Linked DNA regions of Sus scrofa. The protein of the gene in region 3 interacts with the protein of the main gene of each other region in a pairwise test. Links are inferred from orthologs where the notes say so. Each region holds a gene or a part of one and is shown on either strand. Other genes may lie near its edges.

What was found. The genes of interacting proteins can lie anywhere in the genome.
Region 1: the proteins of SMAD1 (region 3) and PIAS4 interact in a two-hybrid assay, tested with the Homo sapiens proteins (2 studies listed by BioGRID and IntAct). The link is inferred for Sus scrofa from reciprocal best matches to the Homo sapiens genes SMAD1 and PIAS4.
Region 2: the proteins of SMAD1 (region 3) and PSMB4 interact in binary tests that used the Homo sapiens proteins (3 or more experiments, as listed by UniProt). The link is inferred for Sus scrofa from reciprocal best matches to the Homo sapiens genes SMAD1 and PSMB4.

Annotation. Positions count from the first base shown.
Region 1 is NC_010444.4:74,726,338-74,731,152, reverse strand, and holds the start of PIAS4 (E3 SUMO-protein ligase PIAS4), read left to right. Parts: upstream 1-1,360; 5' UTR 1,361-1,442; coding exon 1,443-1,469; intron 1,470-4,815.
Region 2 is NC_010446.5:97,834,455-97,839,537, forward strand, and holds PSMB4 (proteasome subunit beta type-4), read right to left. Parts: upstream 3,456-5,083; 5' UTR 3,414-3,455; coding exon 3,274-3,413; intron 3,032-3,273; coding exon 2,825-3,031; intron 2,561-2,824; coding exon 2,414-2,560; intron 2,277-2,413; coding exon 2,195-2,276; intron 1,811-2,194; coding exon 1,694-1,810; intron 1,505-1,693; coding exon 1,416-1,504; intron 1,211-1,415; coding exon 1,198-1,210; 3' UTR 1,090-1,197; downstream 1-1,089. UniProt on the Homo sapiens protein: Non-catalytic component of the 20S core proteasome complex involved in the proteolytic degradation of most intracellular proteins. This complex plays numerous essential roles within the cell by associating with different regulatory particles.
Region 3 is NC_010450.4:82,984,440-82,989,490, forward strand, and holds the start of SMAD1 (mothers against decapentaplegic homolog 1), read right to left. Parts: upstream 3,471-5,051; 5' UTR 3,287-3,470; intron 2,615-3,286; exon of another isoform or gene 2,599-2,614; intron 2,531-2,598; exon of another isoform or gene 1,740-2,530; intron 1-1,739. UniProt on the Homo sapiens protein: Transcriptional modulator that plays a role in various cellular processes, including embryonic development, cell differentiation, and tissue homeostasis.

The sequences.
Region 1 (4,815 bases), on a different chromosome or scaffold from region 3:
ATTGACTGCAACTGCAGAGTTAGATTCTCTCTTAAATTAGTATTTTCTTCATCATGGAGTTTTTTTGCATTAATTTTTCTTTTTCTTTCTTTCTTTTTTTTTTTTTTTGTCTTTTTGCTATTTCTTTGGGCCGCTCCTGCGGCATATGGAGGTTCTCAGGCTAGGGGTCCAATCGGAGCTGTAGCTGCCAGCCTACGCCGGAGCCACAGCAACGCAGGATCCAAGCCGTGTCTGCAACCTACACCACAGCTCACGGCAACGCCGGATCGTTAACCCACTGAGCAAGGGCAGGGATCGAACCCGCAACCTCATGGTTCCTAGTCGGATTCGTTAACCACTGCGCCACGACGGGAACTCCTGCATTAATTTTTCTTAAAAAATATTGCACAGGAGTTCCCTAGTGGCCTAGTGGTTAAGGATCTGGCAATGTCACTGCTATGGCTTGGGTCGCTTCTTCGGTGCGGATTCAACTCCTGGCCTGGAAAACTTGCCATGCCCTGAGGAACAGCCAAAAAAAAAAAAAATATGTATATATATCTCTCACATATATCACACAAACATTTATCTTGATAACAGGGTCATTTGGGGCACTCAAATTTCGGCTAATTCTTGCCCTGATATTTATAATGTCAAGGGATGGGCCCTGAAATACACAGTTTTGTCCTCTTTCTTCCTGCTTTTGATACAAGAAACTTTGAGCTCTGTGGCCCGCGAGCACTGAGGAGCCACAGAGAGCTCTTGAGCAGGGGAGTTTCCGGTTAGTGCAGATTCCAAAGGTTTACTGTGGATGGGGAGCCAGAACTAGCGAGAGGAGTACGCTTACGGGTGTGAGGGATGCACGAGCTCCGGGAAGTGGGCAGGAGGTCCCGCATTTCTCCGCCGGGAGCCAACTAAGTGGGGGGCGCCGCGCCCGAGCCCCCTCTGCCGAGCCAGGACCCGGATGTATAGCACGCCTGAGGCTGCACAGCGCTGCTCTGCAAGGCGCCTCGCTGCACGCATTGGCAGCTGCTGAGCCGGCCAACTGTCTTCTCCCCGCCCCCACGCCACCGGGCGTCCGGTCAAGCACCTGGCAGCCGCCTCGCACCGGGGACCCGCAACACCTTGCTGCATTGTTGTCGCCTCTGCTATCTATTCCCTCCCAAGACAGGACCCAGCACCCACCCCTACCTGTGCGGCACTCGTGCGCCTTTAAGAAGCTAGACGCAGCCAGGGGTGGGCGTGGTCGCCGCGAGCTAAAGAGGGGGGCGGTGTCGGGCCACCCTGATTGGCCCGAGGCCCGGGCGGTGGCCGCGCGCGCCTGCGCAGTGCGCGGTCGCGCGCGCCGCGGGGAGGAGGGCGCGCGGGTGCTAATTGGTCGCGGCATAGGCCCCGCCCGCGAGTGGAGGGCAGTCACGTGACGCGACGGCTGGGGGCTCCCGGCGCGGGGGACGCTGGTGGCCAAGATGGCGGCGGAGCTGGTGGAGGCCAAAGTGAGTGAGCGGCCGCGGCGCCGGCCCGGGAGGGTGGGGGGTGCGTGGACCGGGCGGCAGGCCGAGGTCTGCGCCTTCCGCTCGGGGTCCTGAGACACAGCCCGCTCGCACCTCGGCGTCCGGCCTCCTCGCCCGCCCCTGGTCCCCGGACTCCGGGTGCGGGCGGGGCGCGCGGAGGCCGGGGGCGGGGCCCCCGAAAACCTCACCCCACTCTTCGCCCTGGGGGGTCGGCCCCTGGGCTTGAGCTTGGGGTCCCCTTCTCCAGCTCGAGCGGTTAGGTTACCTACAAATCTCCCTAAACACGGGCACAGGGCCGCGCCTCCCAGCTTGAGGCACAGTCCCCACGGACAGCTTCACGGGCTGAGCTGCTTGTCTTCTCGTCCCAAACAGGGGTCCGCGCTCTTTGGCCTTTGGGATTGTCTGCGCGTCTTCTCTCCCGCCATGGCTGCCGTCAGGGTCTTAGCCTCCTCGCCCCAGCCGACTAGCCGACTAGACTGGGGTTGGCTACTCCTTGCTCAGAAGGGTCCCCTGACTCTTCTGCCACCGCTTGCACCGTCCGGAGTGATGAGCTGGGGTCCTCAATGTCCCTCAAAAATAGTGTGTCTCTTGGGGTCTGTACGCTAAACTGGTGTTTGGGGCCCTGTTCAGCTCCTGCTCTGGTTCCAGAACCCCGCCTCCCTCCCGACACCTTCCTCACCCTGGAGTGGGCTTGGTGTTAACTGAGTGTGCCCCCCTGGGATGGAGCTCTGGCCCCTGTGTCCAAGACCTTCCCATCTCTCTCCTCTCAGTCTTCGGTTCTGAGCTCTGCCTTCCTTCTCCCTCTTCCCCTTTAGGACAGCATCTATGCCCTTTTGGACTACTTCTGGGGGTTCTAGTCCTCACCCTTGCGGGATCAGACTCTTATTTCCCAACCTTGGCTGTTTCCTCTGTATTCTACTTCATTGTGGATCTACTGCTCAGATCACACTCCCTTTCCACCTAGCCCCAGAACCCCTGCTTTTGCATCCCAGCTTTGGCATCTGAGGCCCCTCTCTCTTTCTTCTGGTCTCTCGTGTTGGTCCTTGGAAGGTCTCTGATTGACTGCAGGGTAGGATTTTTTCTGTAGGGTAGTTCCTAGTGCTTCTCTGCTGTATTCCTGTTTGGGGTCCAGGTTCCACATCCCATAGATACCATCCCTTCTCTTAGCTTAGGGTCCTTTTTAACCCTCTTGGGACTAAGCTGGAAGCATCAGTTTTCCAGAGATGTATTTTCTTCAAGGTAGCCTCTCTGAGGTGAGGCTCCAGAACTCTTGCCCCTGACTGCACGAGACTTCTTCTGTAAGAAGTTTACTCAAGGCCACAGGTCTCAGGGATGTAGAGGGCAGGACCTTTGCAGAACTGAGGCACCCCCACCCCTCTGGTCTGTCCTCCCCAGGGTCTTGACCTGTAAATGTTTTCTTTCCCTTTCCTTACATCTCCCTTCCCTTCCCACTGGGGTCTGAAATGAAGCCCTCAAGGTTCTGTGATTATAGGGTATTACCCTCCCTTCACCCCTGAGCTCCCTCCCCCTGTACCTAGAACACATGCTTCTGCTCCTCTGGAATTTTGAGAAATTGAGTACCTGCCCTAGAGATGTGCAAGCCCAAGGCAGCAGCCTGCAACCTGAAGTCCCCTGGAGCCCTGAAATTTAACCTCCTCTGCTGTGGGGTTTTGGCTCTGGGCTCCCGCCGATCCTCCAGCCAGAGAGTGGGGTCTGAACTCTTATACCATTCAGGGCCTTGAAATATGATCTGATGAACTCTGCTTGACCCTCCAGTGGCTGCCCCCCCAACCCCAATTAAATCAAGTTGACCCTTTTTCTTGTCTTTTGTCTTTTTTTTTAAAGCTGCACCCACAGCGTATGGAGGTTCTCAGGCTAGGGGTCTAATTGGAGCTATTGCTGCCGGCCTACGCCAGAGCCACAGCAACGTCAGATCCGAGCCGCATCTGCAACCTACACCATGGCTCACGGCAACACCGGATCCTTAACCCACTGAGCAAGGCCAGGGATCAAACCCACAACCTCATGGTTCCTAGTCGGATTTGTTTCCGCTGCGCCACGACGGGAACGCCTTATAATTTTTTTTGTCTCTTGTCTTTTTTTTAGAGGACCCTTTTTCAAGTTTTCTAAAATGTGAGCCTCCATTCAGGGGGGCTCACGACTGCAGCATAGCTTGCTCTGATTCTAGGGAGACTTCTTTTTCCTCCAGTGCTTTGCTGTCACCAAGAAGTGCTTACTATACGTCTCATTGAAATATCTCCCTCTTTTAGGAGCTTTCTCACCCTTTTGTAGTGAGAACCAGAGATTTTGTCTTTTGGAGTGCAAAATGGGCTGGTTCGAGGGGAGGGTGAAGGGGGCTTGTTGATAAACTTGGAAATCTGAGACTCTTAACCTGAGACGGGGTGGTCTAGAAAGTCCCTGAGAGGAGGGTGCGTAGTAGTTTGCACGGAGCTCTGATTTCCTGGAGAGAGGAGCCCCTAAGTTGAGCACAGCTACTCTATCAAGGCTGTTGTTTCTCTAGGCAGCTCCAAAGGAGCCTAGAGTTGAGGCTCTGGAAGCTGCTGGGGCCTGGCGCTGTTTATAAACACAGATCCGAGGGGCAGGGTCAGTATGAAGCCACAGCAGGAAGTGTTCTGCAAAGCGCTTGGGGCTTCTTCCTGAATGTTTGCACCCTGCTCGTGCGCCCCCCCCCCCACCAGTGTCAAGGGCAGGCTCCTGGGTGGTGGCAGCTGCTGAGAAATACGAGTTGTGAACATATGGCAGTTTGAGGGGTGTGCCCCAGGATGCAGGAGCAGGAGGCGGCTCCGGATGTCCAACCTGGTGGACGGGGTAGGTGGGGGCAGGGGCTCCCAGGGGCGGGGTGACTCCAAAAGGCCAAGCCCACCTGCCTTTGACTCCATGGCCAGTGGTCAGCTTCCACATGACATCGCCTCTCCCCTTGAGTGCTTTGGGCCTCTTCCAGAAGAAACATCTTGTCTGCAATCTTTTCTTCTCTCCTCAAGGTGGGAAGTCAGGCCGAGGGTGGTAAAGCCTCTTTGTTTTCAGAGTGTTCAGACTCTCCAGCAGGCTGCTTAGGGCCCTGTGAGGGGGTGTGCTGGGGATGAGGGGCCCCCAGGCAGCTGGGTGTGAGTGGAAGTAAGCAGCTCAAGGAACCTGATGGTCTCAAGTCCAAATGCCAGCCCTGCTGTCCACACTCAGGAAAGCCTTGGGTCAGTTGCTTCCCTCTTGGAACTTCAGTTTTCTGACCTGTATAGTGGGCATGAGTCCTTGTGAGCATAGTGACCGTGAAGGCCCTTATGCTTGCCATTGGCGGACACTCAGTGTCTGC
Region 2 (5,083 bases), on a different chromosome or scaffold from region 3:
CCACTGAGCCGCAGTGGGAAGTCCTACACTTAGGACTTTGAATGAAGACACAATTCTTTTAAGAGGTCTTTTGACAGTGCTAGAAATTAGTAGATGTGGACAATAAGCATGTAGGTTAAATGTCAATTAAAATTACTTAGTATTCCCCATGAAAAGTGAGAAGATTGGATGGGTAAGGGATTAAGGCTTTCAATTCCAGCCTGGGATTAACCCCAAGAGCAGCACTCCTAGATGTTACATTTCTATCTTTGAAATGATTTTTTAACTAAAATCACATTTGCGGCCAACATTAACTAGAAAGTCTTCATTTTGGAACCTAGTGCAGGGTGAAAATATTGACCACAAAAGCTAATTGTGAGTTCTATAGAGAGCAGCCTTCAGTAAAGACCCAATGACGACAGCAGTAGGTGTCCTGTGTTATCACACAGAGAACTCTATGCTTTAAGAACCATGAATCAGGAGTTTCCGCTGTGGCTCAGTGGTTAACAAATCCGACTAGGAACCATGAGGTTGCGGGTTTGGTCCCTGCCCTTGCTCAGTGGGTTAAGGATCCAGCGTTGCCCTGAGCTGTGGTGTAGGTCACAGATGCGGCTTGGATCCCACATTGCTGTGGCTACAGCTCCAATTGGACCCCTAACCTGGGAACCTTCATATACCACAGGTGCAGGCCTACAAAAGGCAAAAAGACCAAACAAAACAAAACAAAACAAAACAAAAACCCCATGAATCAGGAACTCCCATTGTGGCTTTAACAACTAGTATCCTCAAGGACGTGGGTTCCATCTCTGGCCTCGCTCAGTGGGTTAAGTATCTGATGTTGCTGTGAGGTGAGCTGTGGTATAGTTCGCAGACATAGCTCCTGAGTTGCTATAGCTGTGGTGTAGGCCCACAGCTATCGCTCTGATTTGACCCCTAGCCTGGAAACTTCCATATGCCCCAAGTGCAGCCCTAAAAAGCCAAAAAAAAAAAAAAAAAAAAAAAAGCAAGAACCAAAGGGTCCTCTGACTAGCAGAGGAATAGATGGCTTACAGCAGTACTTAGCAGTTTCACTCTTGGTGTAACCTAGTCAAACAATACAACCACTCACCAAATGTTTTAAAGGATTTATTTATTTTACAAAAGAACTGTATCTCTGAACCAGCCACGTTCAAAGTTAGAAGTACCACTTCAGTTCTGGAAAATGCATCTATCTATATTTCATTCAAAGCCACTGAAAAGAAAAAAACCATGTAAGATTGTGAAGCCATAGAGTAAGACATCAATTCCTAAAAGCAGCTCTATCCTCAACCCAAACCCTCTCCACCCAGAGAATTTTTTGGTTGAGACCACCAGAAAAACTAAGCTTAGTTCAACCAAGGGGTCTCCCAACTTTTCTACCAACTACTTTTTTTTTTTTTAACTGTAATTTCAATCACCTGATCATGTGGGCAATATCCCAGTTGGTCTCTGCAGACAGGGGTCCTTCTATTTCAACACCTTTTTCGGTTACAGTGGCAATTTGAAACTGAAAGAAAAGCAGAGCTCTCATGAAAGAAGTCCCTGGTCAAAGGTCAAGTTGAGGGTCTTTCCCTAAAATGAAAAAGCGAAGACACAGAAATGGGACACCCTCTTCTTTGAAGCATAGAGACTCAGGGACGGGAAGTATCCAAGAACCTGCCAATTAGATCCCCACCACCTTATGCACACTTCTCACCCTGTTATAAGAACGGGCATCTCGATAGTACAGCACTCGCATGCAGCGTTCCACTAGCTCTCGGGCCTCGGCCTGGCTCAGCACTGGCTGCTTCTCCAGAACTTCTCGCAACAGAGGCTAGAGAGATCAGAGGGAGAAAAAAAAAAAAAAGAAAACATGGGAGATATGAGGGGCTGAATGCCAGGCAATTTGACGCAAATCCTTAATGTAAAAGGAATCATAAATGAGTGAAAAGGTGACATTCATTATTGCCTCACCAGCATGAACTGTTTGTGCTAAGACCCACTTGAAAGGGAAATTCTAGAGTGTCCTCTCTTTGCACATGTATATTGACTCCTGGACCTATCACCTTGACATGGTCTCTGGACCACAAAGAAAACCATCTGCCCAGCAGTAGGGATCCTAGCCTGTTCCTCATGTCAGAATTGCAAGGGTAGACAACCACTAATCCCTATTGCCTTCTGTCTTCTTCTATCCCTCATCCCTCAACCAACTACTTACCTGAGCCAGGTATGCACCATAACCAGTGGCCAGCGAAGGGGCTTCATAGGCTACACCAAGCATGTCCACGTAACCCAGGAAGCTAACAGGACACAATAGGTCAAAGAACTCATTTCACCTTAGGTTTCTATATGTTAGCTGAAGGATGGGACCAAGGGGTCTGAGTCAGAAGTGGGATTCACTCAGGGAGAAGAGATAGTTATTTGTATTCAAATCAACCTCTCTCCATCAGCATAGCCTCCGATGACCATGGTGTTCCACAGGGGGTTCATCTTGGAGCGGCGGCTGTACATGGCCCTGGTCAGCCACGAATGGATAGCTTTAGGACTATAGCTGTGTCCATCTCCCAGCAGCTCCTCATCAATCCTTAAAAAGAATTGGTTGTGAGAAAAGGGAGAGAACAGAAATCGGGTTTTCCATCCACCCCCAAAAGATGTGACCACAATCTTCCCCTCTTAAACCCACTAAAATAAACTATTTGCAAACATCCTCGAATCTTTCACCCCCCAACAAGTCTCCCCATCCTCTACTGCAGCTTCAAGTTCCTCCACACTAGAACATCTTGATGGGATAAAAACAGTGGATTCCCCTCCCCACCTGGGAACTACTCCTATTCTCTAGATGACTTACACCATTTGGCCGAGAACTTGCTTCAAATATTGGAAATCAGCGTAGTCTCCTGAAGCACCCAGCATGGTGCTGTTGTTGACTCGCATAATGCGAGAGATGTTGCGGAAACGAGCCAAGGAACCATAGGAGCCCAGCATGTCTGCTGCAATCACCACTCCGCCCTCAAACTTGACTCCCAGAACCGAGGTCCCGGTCACCATGGGGTTCCTGGAGATAAAGAAGGGTCTGGCGAGAGGTGGAGGAGAATAGCCTAGGCCCGCTTCCCGCTCTGTGGGTTCCGCTTCTGACTTTCCATGGCTCCTTTCATTCTCCAGGCCCTACTCCTCGAGCTGTCCCGCTGTTAGCGCGCCCGGGGGTCCCCGCCTCGCCTGCCCTGGCTCCCCGAACCAGCCGGCCGCACCAGGCCCCACGGTCTCTCCCCCGCCCAGGCTAAGACGCCAAGAGCTTACTGGGTGCGCGTAATCGGACTCCCATAGAGCACGGATGCCGGGTCCACGATGGATCCAGGAGTGGGAGGAATGCGGTAGAACTGTCCAGGAGCCGGACCCCCGGCCCAGTGTCCCGACCGCGACTCCAAAATCGATTCCATCTTAGTCACCGTAGCTCAAGAAATGAAAGCGTTTGCGCCGACGGAAGCGGAAGTGATCCTTCAGTGCCACACCTTCTTTCTTCCTGAAAGCCACTTCCCGCAGCCATGTTGTTAGGGTCGGGACAGACCGTATGAGCATCCTGGGTGGCGACCGAAACCCAGAGATTTGGAATTGCCAGGCGTCGCATACGTAGCGGTAGAGTCTAGACTAGAACAATGTTCTGATGCTCAAATTCAAGGAGGGAGAGGGTGGTGTGGCAGATGGGGAGGGGGCGGGCTCGTCAAGACTCTGACCTGAGCGAGGAGGCAGGAAGTCTCCTTTCCTTTTTGGATCCTTATCAAAAAGCCCACACTTTAGGAGTTTCCGTCGTGGCTCAGTGGTTAGCGAACCCTACTAGCATCCATGAGGGTTCGATTCCTGGCCCCGCTAAGTGGGTTAAGGATCCGACCTTGCCGTGAGCTGCGGTGTGGGTCGCAGAGGAGGCTTGGATCCCGCGTTGCTGTGGGTCTGGGGTAGGACGGCTGCTACAGCTCCGATTGGACCCCTAGCCTAGGAACCTCCATATGCCCCAGCTGCGGCCCTAAAAAGACAAAAAAAAATAAAAAGAAAAGAAAAGCCTCACACGAAACTAACAGTGAACCCAGGATCTCTTAAGTTCTGTATTTCTCAAAGCAGCCTCATGTGGCATATTCGACCCATTTTATAGGTAAGAAACAGAGACTTGAATAGTGATTTACCTGATCACACAGCAAATAATGGTAGATCTGAGTCTAGGAATCTTACAGTTGTGCGTACCTTGCGGTGTATAATATCTCAGGTGGGTCACTCACTGTGCAGAACCTTCGACAAATCTCTGAAAGTTACCTAGTTGTGAAATGCTCTTACCTACCTCTTAAACAGCAGAAAAATTCCATTGCCTGTGGGAATGTAACTAAATTCCAGGCGTTCCCTTCTCAATGTGGTTCTGTAGCAGGGGCTGGAAGCAGTGTCTAGAATCAAACAGGTGAACCTAAACCTGATAGTTTGCCACTCCTCCCTACACAATTAGATTTTAAATTATTGACTCAGCGGGAAACCAAATCAGTTTTGTTTTTTAAATTCCCTGAGTTAATCTGAACCAAAGCAACGCATGAAATTTTAGCCTAATTGAAATAAAATATTTTATTAGGTCATGAAACCCTGGAAGGGAAGGGTCAAGGTCTTGTGTGAGAGACAACCAGCTGTTGCTCTTTGTATCATCTTTTGGCTGAAAACTAGGTAGTTGATTTCTTCTTCTAATAGCTCATTAATAATCATATTTGTTTATTCGTCTTCTTTATTATTATTTATTTACTACCAATTCTAATTAATAGCCACCTCCTCCCAAACTCCATATTCCAGGTGAATCTTACTTACTCAGAGACTTACTTGGACAATTAGCAGCTATCTGTTGTTATGACAGAAAGCTTAATGGGATTCCTCCAAAACCACTAGAATACCTTGCTTTCATAGCTACCTGAGCACTCATCATATGAACTTTAAAACAATTAGCCAGCAATTAACTGTCTATATTCTTGTTAAGATGTGGCCTGAGGTGGCTTGCTGGTTTCTGGGCTCCCTCCTTTTCAGTCCCTGGATTAATTAACGCTGTGGTAGGGCTAGTGCCAGGTCCAGAGATTAGGCAGGTAGT
Region 3 (5,051 bases):
AGGCGGACAGGCAACTGAAAGGTGGGTAGAAAGGGAGGCTGAGGAGAGGCAAAGGTTCCTGAGAGAAGGAGCACTAAGAGAACCTTCGGTGATGATGGATGTTGTATGACTACACTCTCCAACGTGGAAGCCACTAGCCACATTAGCTCCTGAGCACCTGCAATGTGGCTAGTGCTACTGAAAAGATGTATTTTTATTTCATTTTAACTAATTTCAAATTAAATACCCACATGCCATTATAGCTACCTCAATGGACAGCACAGCCCTAGGTGTCCCACAAACTGAATAAGGACTGCCAGAAAGTTAAGCCAAAAATAAGAATCTTCTTTTCCTGAATTGCTCATATGTTCAATTCCAATATCTCACTTTTCAGTGGAGACCTGGTTAACTATGACTAGTTAAAGAAATAACATAGCAGTGGGTGCATCAATACAGTGCAAGTCAGTGTTAATAAAAGGATGAGGGATACAAAGTATGTGGTCCTCTGATATTTTAGAAAGTCCCTAAGGCCAAGTTAAATTCAAGCTCACATGAAGCATGGTTCAGTGCACAGATCTGAGCTGCAACGGTCCTTATCAGCACCCCAAAGCATCTGTTTCTCCACGACCTAATGGAAAGCTATTTAGACAATGCAGACTGAACAGCCCTTCACGTACCTTCAGTTTTTTTCAGAAATTCAGAGTTCTGTAAGCCTTTCCCCTTTTTTAGAAACCCTAGCGTTCCTTGTCAGTTCAGCCTTTCCACCATAAACAAAATACATGTACCACCCATATCTGAAGGATAACGCCAGACTCCTGCTTAGCTGCCCCTGTAATACGGTTTAATTATGATGACTGAACTAATAGGCTGACATCATAGACTTTTACAGGCTGACCCCATGTCATCCTGATGTATCATTTTGCACCAGTTCAGTGCTGTAAATCAATTTAAGATCTCAAGCAGGTTGAAAAGGCTGGTAATGATGCTTTCTCTGCCGTCTCTGGAGACGCTACATTATACACAACTTACATTATTTATAAAGCCTCAATGATGCCTCCATTAGCCTTGTAAGACTACACAAATGAGATCTTTTATACACACACAACTTGGCCTTGATTATGTAGGCGACTGCAGCTTAAATATACTCATCTAATTACACTCAAGTTTATTCTTTTTCCAATCTAACCAAGTTACTAAACCCAGAATTACTAGAAATCAAAATTACAAACTGCAATTTAGTTTTCAACTAATAAATGTATTGGGGAAAACGAGGCTTACCTGCTCTTAACGCTTTAATGAACTTGGAAAAAATAAATAAATGCCAAGAGGTGTAAGAGCGTAACATTTTTAACCGCCTAAAAACTATCATTTCTCTAAAATGCAAAGGTCATCAGCTCTTCGAAGGTACAAAACCAAAGGATACTGCAAGAAGGAAAAATGTATTTAGTTACATACCTATGGTTGGAAGGGTCAAAACTAAATCAAGGACAAATCCCTACCCTCAGAAGACACCCGATCCTGCCCGGATCCTCCAGAGACTCTGGCATCACCCACCTCTAGAAAATCATCTCCCACGACCCTGGTTACAGTTTCCTAAGAATGGCAATACTACACAAATGTACACCACCTGCACAGAAATATCAAGTAACTGCAAATGCAAAGAGGGAGGGAGGACAGAGGACAAATACTTAAATCAGCACAGCAGATTTAGGCCTGGCACCTCCATCAGAATAACACTGATGCAAAATATTTATACTAACTGAAAATCCTGGGGCGGTGAACATTGATTCTGCCTCAATTCTTCTGAAATCCTGGTTCCAAGACCGCTCACCTACCGCCAATAAAGTGCAAAGGAGTAATTAGAAACAAGACGAAAAATCAACATGGGCAGAAGACAGTTTTCTCACTGTGTTCCTGAATGTGGGCACGTCATCCACGACAGCCAAGGAGAGCGAGATATGCTCTGAAATAAAGGCATTCTGCGATCGAGCTAATCGCGAAGAGTTTCAGCAACGCAAAGGCATACAGAGCTCAGGCAACTTCTGGGATCATTCCATAGACTTTGAAACTTCAGCTGCAATGGCAAAAGAACCTCAGCGGAAAGAAAAAGGCCGGCTGTCAGAGCTCTCACGACAATGGTGCTTTCTCAGGAGACAGTTCTGAGACGCTCCTCGATCTGCAGAAGGGAAAGCGCCTTACTGGGGATCTTGCACGGTGCATTTAAACATCGTCCACGCCTCAAAATAAACAAAAGCCGCAGCTACTGGAGTTGTAAGATCCGGCAGGCATCTGTTCCTCCTCCCTTCCCAAAGTACATCAAGGAAACGCTCTCCCTGGGAAGCCTTCATATGTATTAAGCAACTAGAAAAACAAGCCCACGTCTGTCTCTCTCACACCCACCACCCCCACCTTCCTGCAGAAACAACCCCGAGAAACACTAACAAAGACCATGCGCAGAGTAAATGAACACTTGTTCCACGGCGAACTCACAAATACACATGCAGTGAGGCAATCAAATCCGGGAAAGGGAAAGGAATGAGACGACACTTGGAGACTCGGGGCGCGGGGGGGGGGGGGGGGTAGGCGGAAGAGAAAAAAAAAAATTACGTGCAGCCAAACCTTTGACTAAATTAGAGAGAATTTAGGTGAGAACTTTCCTTGACCTCGACCCTCAAGAGGCTGGCCGGGGCAGAAGAGGGAGCCCGGCCCGAAGCCGGAGGGACGCAGGGCACCGGGTGCCCCCTCGCGCGAGCCCCACTTCGCGGAAAGGACAGCGCCCGCGGCCGCCCTCCGACTCCCGCAGGGGTCGCCCGGCCGGCGCGGGACACAATGGGCCCGGCGGGCCGCGCCGACGGCTCAGGCCCGGCTGCAGGAAGGGAAAGGGAAACGGGCGGAGGGGGGAGGGTGGCCGCCGAGGGCCGGCCGCGGGCAGGGATCGGGGCGAGGCTGGGGGCCAAGGGACGCGGCGTCCCCGCCGGGGACCCAACAAAGACGCAGGGGGCACTCCGGCCCAAGCCCAGCCTGGCTGGCGGAGCGCGAGGGGAGAGAAGGTGGCAGGTTGGTTCCCTAGAGCTGCCGGGAGGCGCCATCATGGGGGGGGGGGGTGCCGGTCCGCCCCACGCGGGGAAGAGCCCCCTCTCCGCCTCAACCGCACCACTGGCCCGGTGCACGACCGCGGCCACCCGGCTGGCCCGCGCCCGCCCCAACCCGAGGCGGTGGCGGCGGCGCTGGAAAGTCCGCGGGGCGCCGAAGGGAGGGCGGGGACGCGGCGGAGGAGAAAGTTGGGTTCGGGTCTGTTTCGTTTTACCGGGTTGGCTGCGCGCCCGTCCGCGCGGGCGCACGAGGTGGCCGGGCGAGCGGGGTCCCCCGCGGCCCCGGTCCGGCCGGCCGGGCGCTGCGCTCGCAGGGTCCCTCCCCGCGCCTCGGCTCGGGCTCAGCGGCTCGGCCTCTCCTTCCTCCTCCCGCCCGCCCGCTCGCTCGCTTGCTCCGGGAGCTTGGATTGATCTGGTCGCGCTGGCGTCAGGGAGTCGGAGCCGCCCAGCCTCCACTCCTCCGCTGCCAATACCGGGCGCACTCGCCCTCCCGCTCCCTCGCTCGCTCACACGCGCACCCGCGCGCGCCGCCGCCGCCGCCGCGCGACCAGGGATCCTCTCCAAATTCCCGGCCCCGCCAGCGCGAGCGCCGGGCCCGCGCCGCCTCCCCCGCCCACCGCCCCGCTGATTCCTAGGAATCGAAACGGCTGTCCCTGCCTCCTCTGGTCCCCGTGAAGCCAACTCAGCCTTACCTGCAAGGGAAGTTCCGCGTTCTATGTTTATTTTCCGAAACATTTGGCCACCCCGCCCACCGAATCGCATTTTAAACATAGAGTGCATTTTTGATCATCACCTTTCGAGCCTCGCCTTTTAGGTCTAGTTTTCCTTGCCCCTCACTCCTCAAAGATTTGCAAGCCCCAGAAGTTGCACGTACTGAAAACTGGATAACCTAGTAACTATTTCTTGTACTTAGCCCAAACCTTGAATCAATACATGTGTTTGATGCCAGTTTCAGGATCTAGAGATTCCAGTAGTTAACGTCTTTGCTCCAAATGACAGATGCCGCAACAGAACTCTCAATTTTTTGATCCAGGTTCTGCCACCTTTTGGTTGACACCAACTTCCCAAAATAAAACTAAACTAGCTCCCATCCACCTGATCTGCACAGACATTAAAAATGTCTGTTTATGAGAGTTTTTTCTTCTCTTAGCCGGCTCTCTAGAAGCTGGCCTGAAATCTTGGATGATTAGGGTAAGGTTATGTTTAGAGAATAATGATTCTGAGGAGTAAATTTACGTGTTCCAAAAGAACTATTACCATCATTTTTTTTAAGTCAAATTAATGGTATTCTCCAATTGTCATGTACTTTACATGTGCACATTCCATTTTAAATTCTTACTTATTAACCATCTTATTGCTACATCCCATGTTTAATCATTCAAAAGAAATGCAACAGGTCCCCCCAAATACATAAAATACTGTTTATATATAGTCAGACTATGTCTGCTAATTTCTTCGTTCAATTATTTGAGCACTTACAGGTCAATTCTTGGGCCTTGTCTTGTTTCCCCTAAGAACAGCATTTGACAGTTAATTCATTCTCTACCCCTGGCAGCAACAGTTGCAATGAGCCTTGTGAAATGCCACTCCAAACAGGTCACTACTGTGCTCAAACCCTCCTTTGATAAATAGAATGTGCTGTATGCACACAATGGAACACATTCAGTCATAAAAAGGAATGAAGTTCTGACATTCTACGTGGATGAAACTTGCAAACCCTATGCTAAGTGAAAGAAGCTAGACAAAAACCCCACAGACTGTAAGCTTCCATTTATATAAAATATAAATGGAGTTCCCGTAGTTGCTCAGTGATTAATGAAACCGACTATTAACCATGAGGTTTCAGGTTTGATCCCTGGCCTCCATCAGTGGGTTAAGGATCCGGAGTTGCGGTGAGATGTGGTGTAGGTTACAGACGAAGCTCGGGTCCCACATTGCTGTGGCTGTGGCGTAGGCCAGCAGCTGTAGCTCGGATTGGAC